Yarrowia lipolytica: one gene and its partners. The protein of the gene in region 1 interacts with the protein of each later gene in a biochemical or structural test. Links are inferred from orthologs where the notes say so. Each region holds a gene or a part of one and is shown on either strand. Other genes may lie near its edges. The genes, in order: YALI1_B21562g, YALI1_D02831g, YALI1_E19082g and YALI1_B23061g.

Region 1 (4,935 bases):
ACCCCGGCGCTTTCTCTGCTGGTGCCAAGGGAGTCTGTGCCGTCTTCGTGTCTGCTGCCTTTGCTTTCAACGGAACTGAGCTGGCTGGCCTGGCTGCTGCCGAGACCGCCAATCCCCGAAAGTCCATCCCCACTGCTACCAAGCAAGTCTTCTGGCGAATTACCCTCTTCTATATTGTGTCTTTGACTCTGGTCGGCTTCCTTGTTCCCTGGGACCACCCCCAGCTGCTCAACAAGAGCTCTTCTGCTGACGCTTCCGCCTCTCCGTTCGTCATTGCCATCAAGGCTGCCGGCATCAAGGGCCTTCCATCTGTCATGAACGTCGTCATTATGATTTCCGTTCTGTCCGTCGGCAACTCCTCTATCTTTGGTTTCTCTCGAACTATCGCTGCTCTCGCCCAGCAAGGTCAGGCTCCTTCCTTCTTCGCTTACATTGATCGAAAGGGACGACCTCTGTTTGGCATCATCACAGTCTCGCTCTTTGGACTGTTTGCATTCATCTGTGCCGGTCCTATCGAAACCCAGAACACCGTCTTCTACTGGCTCATGGCCATCTGTGGCCTCTCCTCCATCTTCACATGGGGCTCCATCAACCTGTGCCACTTCCGATTCCGAATGGCCATGAAGGTCCAGGGTCGATCTCTCCGAGAAATGCCTTTCTTGTCTCACGTCGGAACTATCGGATCCATGTACGGCTTCCTGCTCAACGTAACCGTGCTTGGATTGCAGTTCTGGATCGCTCTCTTCCCCGTGGGAGGTGCCAAGCCTAAGGCTGACGTCTTCTTCCAGGCCTACCTGGCTGTACCTGTTGTCCTGGCCTTCTATATCTTTTTCAAGCTGTGGAAACGGCCCAGCTTCGTGGCTCTAAAGGACATGGACCTCGACACTGGACGACGAGAAACTGACTTCGAGCTGCTCATGCATGAGATGGACGAAGAGGCTGCCTACATTGCCTCCAAGCCCTTCTACTACCGAGTTTACAAGTTCTGGTGCTAACCGCTGCATTTAGTGTTATATATATATATTGTTTGTTATTAATTGAAGAGTACAAGGACAAGTGCACATTTCATTCAACTTATCGCTACTGTACATACGAGGAGCGATGGGAGCACTACTTCGGGGTCTGCATCGTACGATACAGTATATATATATACTCATACGAATTGTACAATTACATCACAAGTACAAGTACCCGTACAATTACAGCACAAGTAATAAATATACATGCAAGTATTACTTGTACTGTTTACTCATACTCATACTCATACTGTACATACGTACATACTGTACTTGTACTTCAGACATTTGACACACGCTCTGTCCAACACCCACCACATTGATGACAGTGCACCTCGGCGAGTACTATGTGCTGTGCGCCATGTTTGCCTATAATGTAGAAATAACCTGTTTTTGTCAACCCAAATAACGAGATAAATCCACAAAGCCGCGTTTGTATGTCGGTTTATTGCTTACCCCCTCCGCCAACACGTTGCTAGGGGCTCCAGTTAAGGTTTGAACGCGACGCGTTCTCCTTGCCAAAATAGGACTAAATTAAGCCGGGTAACTAGACGACGTGTTTTCTGCATGGGACAAGAATATATCCCAATCCTCCTGAACACAACACATCGTACCGAAAACCACACACGAACACACCATGGACCTCGTCGACCAATTAATGACCGAGGGGATGGAGGGTCCCTCTTCCCCCGGCCCTCCTTCCTCGCCCGGAGCCAATTTGCCCTCTTCTTTCGCAGGACGAACACCTGGAACCACATCTGCTCATGGAGGCCCTAGCTCTGACCAATACAGAGAACCAGCTGCCATGGATGTACCTCCGGACGAGGAGGTGCGAATGCGGCGAATTATGGAGCAAGAAACAGTTCCCAAGGTTCAGGACGCCACTGGAGAGAAGGTGCGTGATCTATTTGAAGAGTTTCTGGAGACTTACGTTGATGGATCAAATCCGGAAGAGTACTCTGATGACGAGGATGGAACTGCGTATGACGGGCGACCTTACGTACGACAAATCAAGGGTCTTCGAAGTTTCAACAAGTCGTCAATTTTCGTGGACTACAGACACATGAGCGAGACTGAAGATGGTATTCTGGCCCAAGCCATCAGTGACCAATACTACCGATTCATGCCATTTTTGCTGCGAGGTCTGACCAATGTGATTCGAAAGATTGAGCCCGTGCTTCTGCAACAGTCTGTAGGCTTTTCTGAGGATGGAAGTTCGACGTTTGGAGGATCCAAGTCGTCGTCTGCCTCAGATCAGCCCCGACACTTTCAGATCTGTTTCCACAACCTTCCTGTCGTGTGCAGAATTCGGGAACTCAAGACCGACAAGATTGGTTGTCTTATTTCTCTAGGGGGTACTGTCACTCGAACGTCCGAAGTGCGTCCAGAACTGTACTTGGGAGCCTTCCAGTGCCAGGAATGTCATACTGAAGTGGACGGAGTGGAGCAGGTGTTCAAGTACACAGAGCCTTCGATCTGTCCCAACCCCATGTGCGGAAACAAAAAGATGTGGAAGCTGCTGATGGACAACTCTGTGTTCTTGGATTGGCAGAAGGTGCGTGTGCAGGAAAACGCACATGAGATCCCCGCTGGATCTATGCCCAGAACCATCGACGTCATTCTTAGAGGTGAAAATGTGGAGCGAGCTCGAGCAGGAGATCAGATGATTTTTACTGGAGCACCTGTTGTCATTCCTGACGTCACTCAGCTTGGCCTGCCTGGTGTGAAGCCTCGAGCAGTTCGAGATGGAGGCCGAGAAACTTCTGCTGTGGAGTCTGGAGCCGTCACAGGACTCAGAGAGCTTGGAGCACGTGATCTGACCTACAGGATATCTTTCCTAGCTTGTTACGCTGCTCCTGCCAACATTCTGGACGCCTCTGCCAACGACAACTACGCCGAGAACGCTGCTGACGAACAAGAGGAGTACATTCGAAGTCTGAAGTCTGCCGAAGTGGAGCAGCTTCGTGATATGGTCCACGGACAGGATATTTTCCGACGTCTGGTACGATCCATTGCTCCTGCTGTGTACGGTCATGAGACTGTCAAGAAGGGTATTCTACTGCAGCTCATGGGAGGAGTGCACAAGAAGACAGCTGATGGAATTCGACTACGAGGAGATATTAACATTTGTCTGGTTGGAGATCCCTCCACTGCGAAGTCCCAGTTCCTTAAGTACGTCACCTCGTTCCTTCCTCGATCTGTGTATGCTTCCGGTAAGGCATCCACTGCTGCAGGTCTTACAGCAGCTGTGGTTAAGGATGAAGACTCTGGAGAGTTCACCATCGAAGCTGGAGCTTTGATGCTTGCTGATAATGGTATCTGTGCTATTGATGAGTTCGACAAGATGGATTTGGCAGACCAGGTGGCAATTCACGAGGCTATGGAACAACAAACTATCTCCATTGCCAAGGCCGGTATTAACGCTACTCTGAACGCCCGAACTTCCATCCTGGCCGCTGCAAACCCTGCCAAGGGTCGGTATGACCGCAGACTCGGTCTGCGAGCCAACGTGCAGATGTCCGCTCCTATCATGTCTCGTTTCGATCTGTTTTTCGTCATTCTTGACGAGTGTAATGAGGCTACGGATACCGCTCTGGCCAGCCATGTCGTTGACCTGCACATGCATACTGATGAGGCCATCGACCCTCCCTTCTCCACTGAGCAGCTGCAGCGATTTATCAAGTACGCCCGTACCTTCAAGCCCATGCTGACCCCCGAAGCCCGAGCAGTTCTTGTACAGCAGTACCAGCAACTCCGAGCCGACGACGCCACCGGAGCTGGAAACAGTTACCGAATCACCGTTCGTCAGTTGGAGTCCATGATCCGTCTCTCTGAGGCCATTGCTCGAGCCAACTGTTCGACCATCATTTCCCCTGCCTTTGTTCATGAGGCTGCCAAACTGCTCAGAGACACCATCATTCTCGTTGAGCGGGAAGATGTGCTTCTGGACGAGGAGGAGGACACCGTAGACGCTGCCGAGGACGCCGTTGACGAGGCCATGGAAGCCACCCAGCTAGCCAACCACACACCCCGGGACCAGATCACTCACCAGCAATACACACACATGGTCAACATGATTGTGTCCAAGCTATCGGAGAACTACACCGACGATGCCGATGCCAGTAGAATCGGAATGTCGCTGGATGCACTACTGGAGTTCGTGCTGGAGCAATACGAGGAAGATATGGTTGATGAGGAGGATGTGGAGAACCACACTCGGCTGACCAAGAAGGTCATCAAGAAAATGAAGAAGAACAACCTTCTCATGACCGTGCGAGGTAATTTAGACGACCTGGAGGCCCCAGGAGATGGAACTGAGCTGTATGTGATCCATCCTAACGCTGCGGCCGCTGAGTTGGAGGAGACTAGACAGACAGGAGGTGTCATGCCTGATGACGAGTAGGGATAAATGAGCTTTCAGGATAGCTCTCCAGTAATACACACTCAGTTCATACCACACGACTTTAGAGAGTAAGTAACTAATTAATGTATTTTTATTTTTATTGTTTTCCAAGAGATTATTAATTTTATGATCTCCTTGTATTTATAGCAAGATGTGCAAGGTGAAAGCTGATGAAGAATGTTTGTAAATACAGTAAGCCGCCTCTAGGGTAAAATAGAGATGCCTATTAATACACGTACGAGTACGGTAAGTTATATTTCTAGCTTATATAATCACGGGATCTTATACATATTCAACCATATACAAGTGCCATGTATGCGGGGGTGATACGATTTAAGCCTCATTTTTAGAGCCCATGATTCTGCGCAACAGTAGCTAGCCCATGATATAAGACCATGAAGTTAAGGCCATACTTGACGTGTGAAACAGGCCTGATATGTTTTGAAGACGGCTCCAGTAAGTCGCTCCAGTACAACCAATGACACAGGAAGGAGGTTCATGTGCACCACCCAGAAA
Region 2 (3,447 bases), on another chromosome or scaffold:
CTCTCGTTTCCGATGCGAATCATGAGCTCCGAAGATAGCAGTTGCTGAGTCAGTCGCGGCAGCTGGTAGTATCGTGCATCAATCAGCAGGTATACCGACGTGGCTTCGTCGGAAGACATGATGTAGTAGCCCTGCAAGTGGCGCACAATGAGCTTGAAAATGTCCGGAGACCGGTCGAGAAAAAGCACCGGCGGGTTGTCTTTGTGTTTCAGGAAAAACTCGGTAAAGTACGACGGGCCATCGCTTGATAGAGACGCTCCAGACAAAGTGAATCGCTGATCTCCAACCTGAATCGCGTACATTTGCTCATGGGGTAGAATGGCGGGGATGGTGGGGTCGAAATTACCCTTGGGGTTGATCATGGTGCCACCCACGCGGGAACTGGACGCTGAGCTGGTTGATTGGGGCGTAGTGGAGGCCATGATAGTGACGTGAGAGGCTACTGGGTGTGTGGAGGTGGTGATGTACAGAGGAGGTGTATGTATGATTGAACTTTATTGACAATGGAATAATTTGCGAATAGGGTACAAGATGCTGTGGGCGGATTGATATCGAGAAAATTCGACTGGTGGACATAAGAAAGATTTAAAATGGATTTATCTGGTTCAATTAACGGCATGAGTACTCCAATATGCCCAAACATGGCTGTCTATATCTACGTGCAACAACCTTATCGGGATTATTGTGCATGAAGGAAAGATGACAGAAGGGTGACTAAGGCTGTTGTCAGAGACCAGAGGTCTCGTCTCGCCTACAAGTAGACAACGACTGGCTGGGTTCTGCTGGGATTTTCAGCCGAGTTTTGAAATTTATCGATTTCCCCGACTTCTTTCTGGGTTTTCTTGGATCATCTTAATTTCCCTGAATTTTTCCTGAATTTTTCTGACTAATTGAAAATTTCATTTTCCTCTTTTTTTTTTCTTCATTCTATTCGCTTAATTATTAATTAAAATACTCGAATTAATCAACACGAATCACAGAGTTTCCAACAGCCTCTCAATTCTACAAACCACCCCAAGCCCAGTGGCACGTGACTAAACTAATAATATACAGACACAACCGCTGACAAATACACACAGCCACCGAAACGTGCTACTGGTAGACATCGGCCAGTAGTGCTGTCATCGCTTATAGTAGCTACATACAGTACGTACAGTACGGATACGGGATGAATGGGGAGAAAACCGACGCTAGTTTTGAACTAGTAAACAATTTGATTGAATGGATACTGGTAAACAAAATCATGCTCGTGCTTGTATACGATTTTATACTTGTTTGGCAGTGAATTCTGGTGACAATGCAGTGTCGCCATGCTGACTCCCCATCAAAAATACCCATGATGGAGAAGCGCCAGTCTGATTTGGTTTTGGACACAATCTGCTGGAAGTTGTAACGAGACAGTGTGTAACCAGCACTTACTCGCGTTCTGATTCTTGGTGGAATCGGAATGGGTGACGCGTTGATCTCTTCAGTTGAGCAGAGCAGCACTAACCGGAGAGCTGCCAGGTCGTGCTCAAGACTGTCGCTGACCAACGATTGAGAAGTAGAGAACGAACACACGTTGAGACATCGAGCTGAGACGATATATTGATGTCGATGCGTTATATACTTCAGCTTATCAACTGAGATACTCGTTTACATCAGCGGTGTGGCGTCTCGGTCTCCCATAGAAGCTACAGTACATACTGTACATCTCAAACGCACAACGCCAAACGCGAAATTATAATTAAGGTGCATCAGGATGTTATACTGTGCTAACACACTCACACACAATACAACATGGGTGGATATTACGATCTGGACGAGATTCTGATGGAGGGTCAGGTGAGTACACGGGATGGCATGACTGCAGCGAATAGTGCATTTATCAGGGAGTCCATTACCTGGATGGAACTTGCACGCTAAGATTGTGACTGAGGCTCAGCTTGAGTACGAGTCAGATTCTAGTACGAGTAGAATGGATCTCGTCTAGACGAGCTCTCTTCTGTCCCCATTTGCTCACACCCATTGCTAACACAGAAAATCCCTTGCCGATTTGAAGTTGGAGTCCCGAACTTGGGCTTCTTGGAAGGACGAGGACGGAAAGACGTGAGTATGAGGTTATGGAGAGGTCGGGTTGGATACGGAGGTGGTCCCTAGGCCAAGTCCGCTATGATATAGCTGGTCTATATGATGAATTAGCTGCGGTGCCCTCCCTGGTCCTGTCTGGTTCTGCATACGTTTGATGTGCTCTTGCGATTATAAGTTGAGACTGCCTACACACAGCTTGATATCGTCGAGGTCAATGAACTTCTAAATCATGGGCTTGACCTTTGTTTGTTAACTTCTGATGTTCTGATCTGCTCTTGAGAGCTAAATGAACATATTGTCGGCCAGACTTGCTTCCTGATGAACTCATGTCCAGCCTTTGGAGCCCTCTACGTGTTGTCAGTGGCATTCTATTATTTGGCGACACTCTTGTTCGCTTACGCGCACCGGTCCACGGACTCCCGGTTTTCGTTTCTCTCAGCTAACCAAGATGAACGAAGGTACAATCATTGATCTCCCCATTTGGATCGCAGACGTGCTCTCACAGTCTGAATACGACCCGTATTCCGGCAACCAAGAGTGTTTTGTGACCGTCAAGATCCCGCACGCTCTCAAGCCCAGTGTCTTGAACGCTCTCAAAACGGATGCTCCTGGCGTCGATCTTCGATACCAGTCTCCTCTCTTCTTTGCCCTGGCCATCTACTACCTAGAGCTCTTTGAAGACGAGGAACTGGAGACTATTATCGCCACAGCCATGGCCGAGCGGATATCGGATATTTATGACAATGTTGGCCGACGAGGAGAGTTTGTACACAAGTACGATGAATTTGAGAAGATGTTGTACAAAAAGGGGTGTGCCTCGAGACGGGCGTATAAGGAGTACATGGCGACGATTAAGTATTAATCGAACGAAATGTGTTTCTTGACTGGAATTATACTGCATACTAATGAATTGATGGAATGGATATAAAGCTAAAGAGCTCTCGGTGTCGCGCTTCTAGCTACCTGCGATACTACATATATATATGGAAGGGACGTCCAGCAGGAGAAATCTGAAGGGGACACTGTAGCTGACTCATGGTGAATACAGGCTTACAGTAGAGTATAAAGAGGCGCTTTTTAGTTGACTACTGTACTGTAGCACTGTCCGTACTATTTCGCAGGGACTTCCAATATGGCCATTGTGTGATCTCGGATTTACTTGGCATTTTGTTAGATATACTTAATTTTTGAGAAAAGGTTCAATTAATATTGAATCTTATACTAAAGCATCCAACTATCTGTAGATAGTCGCTCGCTGAGTTTAGCACAACGACAAAGTACAGTAATAAATATTTTGGTGCAGCATGTACTGTACAATTATGTACAGCTTGCTCACCATCTAACACCAACCGCAATTCCATCCCCCAACCCCTCTCC
Region 3 (3,157 bases), on another chromosome or scaffold:
ACATCAACCAGAACGAGATCAGCTCCATGAGTGTGACTCTCAATGGCTCCGCACGAGTGGTGGAGGACCTGGCCGAGGCCCAAAAGTACCTTGCTAAACACGAGAAGGCCAACCCCGACGCCAAGCAGTTCATTGAGAACCAGGAGATTGCCCTTCTGCTCGTCACCTTCAAGGAGGTCAAGGTTACCGAAGTTGATGTTTAGTTGTGCCACAAGAGCAAGAGCGACAAGAACAACCAGCAACCACCACCAAGTAACGCCAATTCCATTTCTTCTGATGATATTGTGGGTGCTGGTAGATTCAATGCATGCTAAGTCATTGCAGTCTCCAAACCTACAAGGTTCCGTAAATTCTTGTACGATACAGTACATACTCGTACCCTGTACTTGTAACAACATGTACAGTACGTAGCTTATCATTAGTCGTGGCTTGCCCCTCAATACTTCAATTTGGTCGGTTTCGATTACAATAAATATATTCATTAGTGTACATGTTGGAAGATGTGTTCTTGTATCTGAGAAACATCACCATTCGGGGCCGCCTTGTTGCGGCACATTATCATCCCACTGAGACAACTCTCGTCTTCTTTCCGAAGTGTCCACTCGGTCTCCATATCGCAACGAAGAGTCCAGTTGAGATGAAGGCACAGCCAACGAAGACTCGTCGTCATGTCCATAAGTAGGCTCATCATCCTCGTCGTCCTCGGGGTTGTCACTTTCCGAATAGATTATGGGCTCCTCCTTCTTGCCGGCCTTGCGGATCTTGATCATTTCCTCCATGCCTTCTACCACAAACGGTCTCATTTCGTTGATCTCCAGAGCCCCCAGTCGGTCCATCTGCAGCATGTTTTCGTTGACCTCCTTCATACCCTGTCGACTTTTTTGCTCCCGCACCTCTCGGATATCTCGCACGAGGTTTCGGATCACCTGTGGCGGCGAGGTGAGGTCGTCTGGAGCGGTGGTGAGCACAATCTGGGCGATTTCCAGCCAGTGGAAATCCACGTTGGAGAACGCGGTGGGGTTGGCATGCTCAAAAGCCAAGATCCGCCGCAAATTGCTTTCCTCCATCCAGTCCGGGGGCACGAACTGACACCGCTGCTGTTTCTTGAGCGCGATGGCCATCCAGATGGGGACTCTGTTCTTTCGAAGAGGATGCATGAGAGGCAGATCTGTGCCTGCCAGCTTGATGGGGTTGCCGACTCGTCGCGGCAGGATCTCGATGGTCTCATTCTCCGCCATGAAATGCAGCTCCGACGGCAGGAAGGTCTCCAGCTGTTCCGCTGGCACCGACATTTTTTCTTCTTCTTGCTGGTTGGTGTGCGACGATGGCTAATCTAATCACTTCACGCGTTTCCGTTGAAATTATCCTGCATATATGATGCATGATGAAAGATTGTGGGTTCGATTACGAGGCGTATAATATTACCGAGAGAATTAAATTGGAGATACGACCACGAATACTCGGCGTGTCATGGGATAGTGACGGTTTTTGGTGGCAAATGGTCATGCAAGTTTTGATGTTTTTATGAAGAGATAGCTTCTGGTAGCTCTATTCCAAATGTCTATGAAGTCACAACCCGTATTCTTGGAGACCCCTTGGGGGCAAATGTCGAGAATACGACCGTTCTGAAGGCGCCCTTGCTTCGGTATTTAGGACCTCAAACACCAGCGTTCCCCAGACTCGTGTCAGGTCCATTCACTTATGCTCAGGTACTCATAGCAGTTCTCCTGGTCTGAAAGGATGCCGATCATCGGCTCTACAGTACCTCTTCCATCTCGGGGTGGTGCGCACAAGACGGCATGTCATAGATATTCTTTTACCGCGTCACGAGCATGTGTTTCGATCTGATCATGAACATTTTCATCAACGGCATGGACTTGATGGTCGTCGGTAAGGGAATCCCGTGGAAAGCTATTACAAATACTCGTGTCTGGCAGGGGTCGAATCGTCATCTGAACCACCAAGTGAACGATAACAATTGTCTGTAGTCCTCTGACACCGTCTGTAATCCTCTGACACCCCACCTCCGATTTGATGCCTTCACATGCTGGCCGACGAAGATAGAGTGTGAGACATTTAGTGAGAGCAAAGCAAGTACTTGTAGCGATAGAGCTCTCGGATGTCTGCGCACCAGCCGGATGTCTGCGCACCAGCCGGATGTCTGCGCACCAGCCGGGATGGTTTGAGTCATGAGTCATTAGTCATTAGATTGCTAGTTTCCGGGAGAACCACAGTCGGTCTTGCGCCAAACTCCAAACTCCGATCGCGACCAAGTCTTGGATTTGGTCATCGGAGTTGGAGGTCGAGTTGGAGGTCGAGTTGGAGGTCGAGTTGGAGATCGATTTAGGACTGGACTTGAGTCGGAGTTAAGTTGGCAAGGGTTCGGAGTCTGAGGTTCGGAGTCTGAGGTTCGGAGCTCTGAGGTTCGGGAAAGTACTCGAACTTGTCGATCTGTTGACGTAATCCTCCCAACTCATACCACTGTTTCATACTGTCGTGACGTCATTTGCGACGTACAGTACCATTGGAGGAGTAGTTGTACTGTAGTGGTAGTGGTAGTGGTAGTGGTAGACGTACCCGTGGTCGTACTTTACAGTACCGCCGAACTTGTAGGTCCTGTAATTAGATGAGGGTCAGAAGGGGAAGTCAATGTTCAACTTGAATGTACTTTCTCCACGCGTACCGCTTTCGCTGCCGAACGGTACTCGTACAGCATCTACGCATCCTGTATAGCAACATATCAACAAACAGCATCGACGGAGTATTCGGAAAGAGACACTAAAATGAGAGACATGAATGTGGCAACTGTGGTTGACGAGGGCTGTGGAAGAGGAAGACAAGGGTGGTGCAACGTACAAACATTTGCCAGTAGGTGCCGATAGGATCTCTTGAAGTGGTCCATCTGGAGCACAGTGGAGCCATTTCCCCCCGTCCTACCGACACCACCTCTCACACCACTGATAATCGTCATGACGTAACTGTTTTCAGGTGTTCTTTTTTTGTTTTGTTTTTTGTTTTTTTTGCTTGGCAACTTTCATGTGTCTCAGTGCAGGGTGGGATGCCTTTAATTTCAGGGGCATGTGCTAGCAACTTGCGGTGGGGGTAATTGGGGCAAAAGTGCGTCTGAGAGTTGCGAAGCGGGCCAGAGAAAGATATT
Region 4 (3,130 bases), about 150 kb from region 1:
CCTCAGAAGACGGCTGTAGCAAAATCTTCTCCTGTGGTTTGGCGAGAATGTCGGGGGACCACGTGCAGATGGTTCCATCGGTCGAAGCAGACACCAACGAAGATGCATTTTGGGTACCGTAGAGGTCCAATGCCAACACAGGGTGTGAATGGGCACTTCCGGAAAGTGGAGAGGCCAAAATAGCCTGTGAACTGGACGCCCTCATGTCCCACACCATGATCTGGCCGTTATAGAGGCCTCCAAACACAAGTGTGGGGTGGAAGGGAGAGCACAGCACCGAAGTCACGTCCGAGTCTGCCACAAACGTGTACTCGGGCTTAGCAGGCATGTGCATATTCCAAACCTTCACACAGCCTTTAGCCTCCGCAATGGAGTCGCGTTTCTCCGTGTACGATGCCACCAGCAGCTCGGGGAAGGAGTGCGACCAAGCAAGATCAAGCACGGCTCGTCCGTCTGTGTCTGAATGGGAAAACTGGAGAGACTGCGACACGAGCGCCTCTTCATCATGGGTTGTAGTGAGTCCCTGAGAACCATAATCTGTGAGAACATCAAATTTTTGAGGTTTGAGCGACCGTTCCACCACCTTGAGCGATTGTTGCACAAACGGAAGCAGGTCTTCGGAAGCCGCAGCAGAAGGCTCTGCGAACACAATACTAACGTTGTCATCTGGAGGCGGAATTGAAACCTGGGCCGGGTAACTAGAAATGCTGGGCTCCTCATCCTGTGTCCCAGAGTCTGGTCTGGACGCGTCTGCTGCTGTTTCGTCGCTGTCGAGATCAATATCGTCATCAATGGGGTCGGTCTGGACCCCCTTTGAGTAGCAGAGTGGCGGTGATGTTGTCCGAGTTGTAATCGCAGCGGCTGTAGAAGTTGAAGCTGACGCTGATGCTGTGTTGGAAGTGGCTGATGTATCAGGACCCTGAACCACAGGAACTTGATCAAAGGCATCAGCAATGACTATGGAAAAAGATCCTGGGGTGTCGTCAATTCGAGTAGTCACCAATGAGTCTACCAGCTGGTCGATATCCTCTTTAGAGGGTGCTGCTCTTTGTGCCTGTGTTAGTAGGTTCCCCCTGGCTGTGTTTGTGTGTTTGTTGAGACTCACCTCCTGCTGTTGAAGAGCTTCTCTGGCCTTTCGCATCTCTGCGATTCTGGCCCTTTTGGCCTCGATCTCGCTGCGTCTGCTCGAGCTCATTTCCAGGCTATTTGTGAGCGTTTGCAAGCACTAGTGTGTGTGATGTTAGCTGTTCGTGTTCGTGTTCGTGTAGCGGTGTGCAGTGAATAAAGGGTGCAGTTGTGATGCACTGCAACAGTCAAGTGGATTTAGAATATCTAGTGAGGATGTCTTAACAAAATAGACGTTGGGGTGGCACGGGTTTGTGAGGCTACGTAGGAGAATTGGGAATATAAATTACAACTGAAGAAACGAAACAGCGTTCACGTCACATCATCAACGAGAAGTATTTCGGAAAAATCTTTTTGGGGAGATCCAGAATAACAGCGTAGCAGAGCTACCTTAGTTTAGATGTTGTAAAAATACCCGCCATTTAGCCGCCGTGTGAGAACCTTAGTGTAACCATCACCTTGGGCGTTTGAGACCTTAGTAATATAATTTTTAGCAATTTCTTGAGCTTTACACGAAACCAAGGTACATATATATAGCTACGATTGATGTACCAGGTAGCTACCGGCTACTGGGTACTTCCACAGCGATTCCTGCTTAGACACGCACATCAGGACCTGCACGACGCGTCAACTTAATTAGAGCACATCAAAAATTCGTCACGCACACAACACAACGATATCAAAAATGGAGGAGGACAACTTGGACTTGGAAGGCATGGACATTCACAGCGGGCTCGACTCGTCGTTCCACTCACCGCCGCACACATCTGATCCAGCGGGTCTGAGCATGGATGAAACGGACGATATTGATGATCTGATCAACAACGTGCGACCACACGACCCACTAGGTACTTTGGAAGAGAAGGAGGCTGATATCAAAGAGTTGACACATTCATGGGTGACTGAGCGAATGTCACCAACGCTTCTTCCGACGAAGGAGGCGCTGTTGTTCCGGATTCTCAAACGTGTGCAGCTTCAGATCGAGGTGATTGAGGAGAAGTCGATAGACATGAGTCCGGACACAGACGTGAAGCTGGAACTGCTGATTGTGGAGACGGAGCTGGAGCGTATCAAGTACCTGATCCGGTCGTATCTGCGCGTGCGACTGCTTAAGATCGATAACAGCATGGAGTACTACCAGTCTTCCCCCTTGGACAGAATGAACATGTCTCAAACAGAGAGAATGTATCTCAACCGGCACTATGCGCTGTTGAAGAATCTGTACGCGCATCAGTTTATGAACACGTTCCCAGACAGTCTCAAACAGATGAACGACTCTTCAGGAAGTGCAAGCATGGTTCAGGAGCCCAACATGGACCATCCAGTGTTTGTGCGAGTAGTCAAGGATACAGGACGAAAGATTATCATTGGAAACGATTCAGTCAAGCTGCGAAAGGGTAGTATCGTCGTCATCAAGTACTCCATCATCGTGAAGTATGTTGAGAGTGGTGATGTTGTTTTCATTTGATGAGAGAAGGAAAATGAGGTGAAACAACTCGACGGGGGAGTTCATGGAACTAATGCTGAGACACGCAAGCTGTGGGCTGTTAGTTATTTTGTGAAGTTGACGCTCGCATGCTACGTTATTGACACCCGTACATACCGACGATTGTGTGTCAAGAGCTCAAGCAGCTAAAATATGACAATCGCCCACTTGCCTTGTCTGTATCATCAGTTACTCGACGAAGCCTTAAAAAGCAAGACACTTCAACGTGGTCGAGACGTTTAGCATGTATCTAACTCACCATGGAGACCCTGCGCGGGCGACCTGGAAGCTGTACATACAGATGCTTACCATAAATAGAGACATCTAATTGTAAAATGCATATCATCATTAACCCTTAGTGCTTCCAGGTAACGGTATTGGTCGCATTGGACTTGGTCTTGGGCAAATTGCGCCTTAGTTACCACTTAACCCAAGTAAAATACCATGCATCACAGAATCTCACCTATAAAGACAAGACTATCAAACCAAAGGTCATTATTTCGTTTATTTTACGAAGTG

The links.
Region 2: the proteins of YALI1_B21562g (region 1) and YALI1_D02831g form a complex in vitro, tested with the Saccharomyces cerevisiae proteins (2 studies listed by BioGRID). The link is inferred for Yarrowia lipolytica from reciprocal best matches to the Saccharomyces cerevisiae genes MCM6 and PSF3.
Region 3: the proteins of YALI1_B21562g (region 1) and YALI1_E19082g form a complex in vitro, tested with the Saccharomyces cerevisiae proteins (2 studies listed by BioGRID). The link is inferred for Yarrowia lipolytica from reciprocal best matches to the Saccharomyces cerevisiae genes MCM6 and PSF2.
Region 4: the proteins of YALI1_B21562g (region 1) and YALI1_B23061g form a complex in vitro, tested with the Saccharomyces cerevisiae proteins (2 studies listed by BioGRID). The link is inferred for Yarrowia lipolytica from reciprocal best matches to the Saccharomyces cerevisiae genes MCM6 and SLD5.

What each region holds. Positions count from the first base shown.
Region 1 is NC_090771.1:2,154,616-2,159,550, forward strand, and holds YALI1_B21562g (uncharacterized protein), read left to right. Parts: upstream 1-1,653; coding exon 1,654-4,419; downstream 4,420-4,935. Other genes in the region: YALI1_B21538g (uncharacterized protein), read left to right, coding at 1-995; YALI1_B21594g (uncharacterized protein), read left to right, coding at 4,815-4,875. UniProt on the Saccharomyces cerevisiae protein: Acts as a component of the MCM2-7 complex (MCM complex) which is the putative replicative helicase essential for 'once per cell cycle' DNA replication initiation and elongation in eukaryotic cells.
Region 2 is NC_090773.1:282,255-285,701, reverse strand, and holds YALI1_D02831g (uncharacterized protein), read left to right. Parts: upstream 1-1,779; coding exon 1,780-1,824; intron 1,825-2,019; coding exon 2,020-2,088; intron 2,089-2,518; coding exon 2,519-2,932; downstream 2,933-3,447. Other genes in the region: YALI1_D02852g (uncharacterized protein), read right to left, coding at 1-422; YALI1_D02804g (uncharacterized protein), read right to left, coding at 3,403-3,447. UniProt on the Saccharomyces cerevisiae protein: Functions as part of the GINS complex which plays an essential role in the initiation of DNA replication by binding to DNA replication origins and facilitating the assembly of the DNA replication machinery.
Region 3 is NC_090774.1:1,906,344-1,909,500, reverse strand, and holds YALI1_E19082g (uncharacterized protein), read right to left. Parts: upstream 1,293-3,157; coding exon 525-1,292; downstream 1-524. Other genes in the region: YALI1_E19098g (uncharacterized protein), read left to right, coding at 1-203; YALI1_E19070g (uncharacterized protein), read right to left, coding at 2,213-2,465, 2,518-2,525. UniProt on the Saccharomyces cerevisiae protein: Functions as part of the GINS complex which plays an essential role in the initiation of DNA replication by binding to DNA replication origins and facilitating the assembly of the DNA replication machinery.
Region 4 is NC_090771.1:2,304,309-2,307,438, forward strand, and holds YALI1_B23061g (uncharacterized protein), read left to right. Parts: upstream 1-1,810; coding exon 1,811-2,593; downstream 2,594-3,130. Other genes in the region: YALI1_B23055g (uncharacterized protein), read right to left, coding at 1-1,195. UniProt on the Saccharomyces cerevisiae protein: Required for DNA replication. Functions as part of the GINS complex which plays an essential role in the initiation of DNA replication by binding to DNA replication origins and facilitating the assembly of the DNA replication machinery.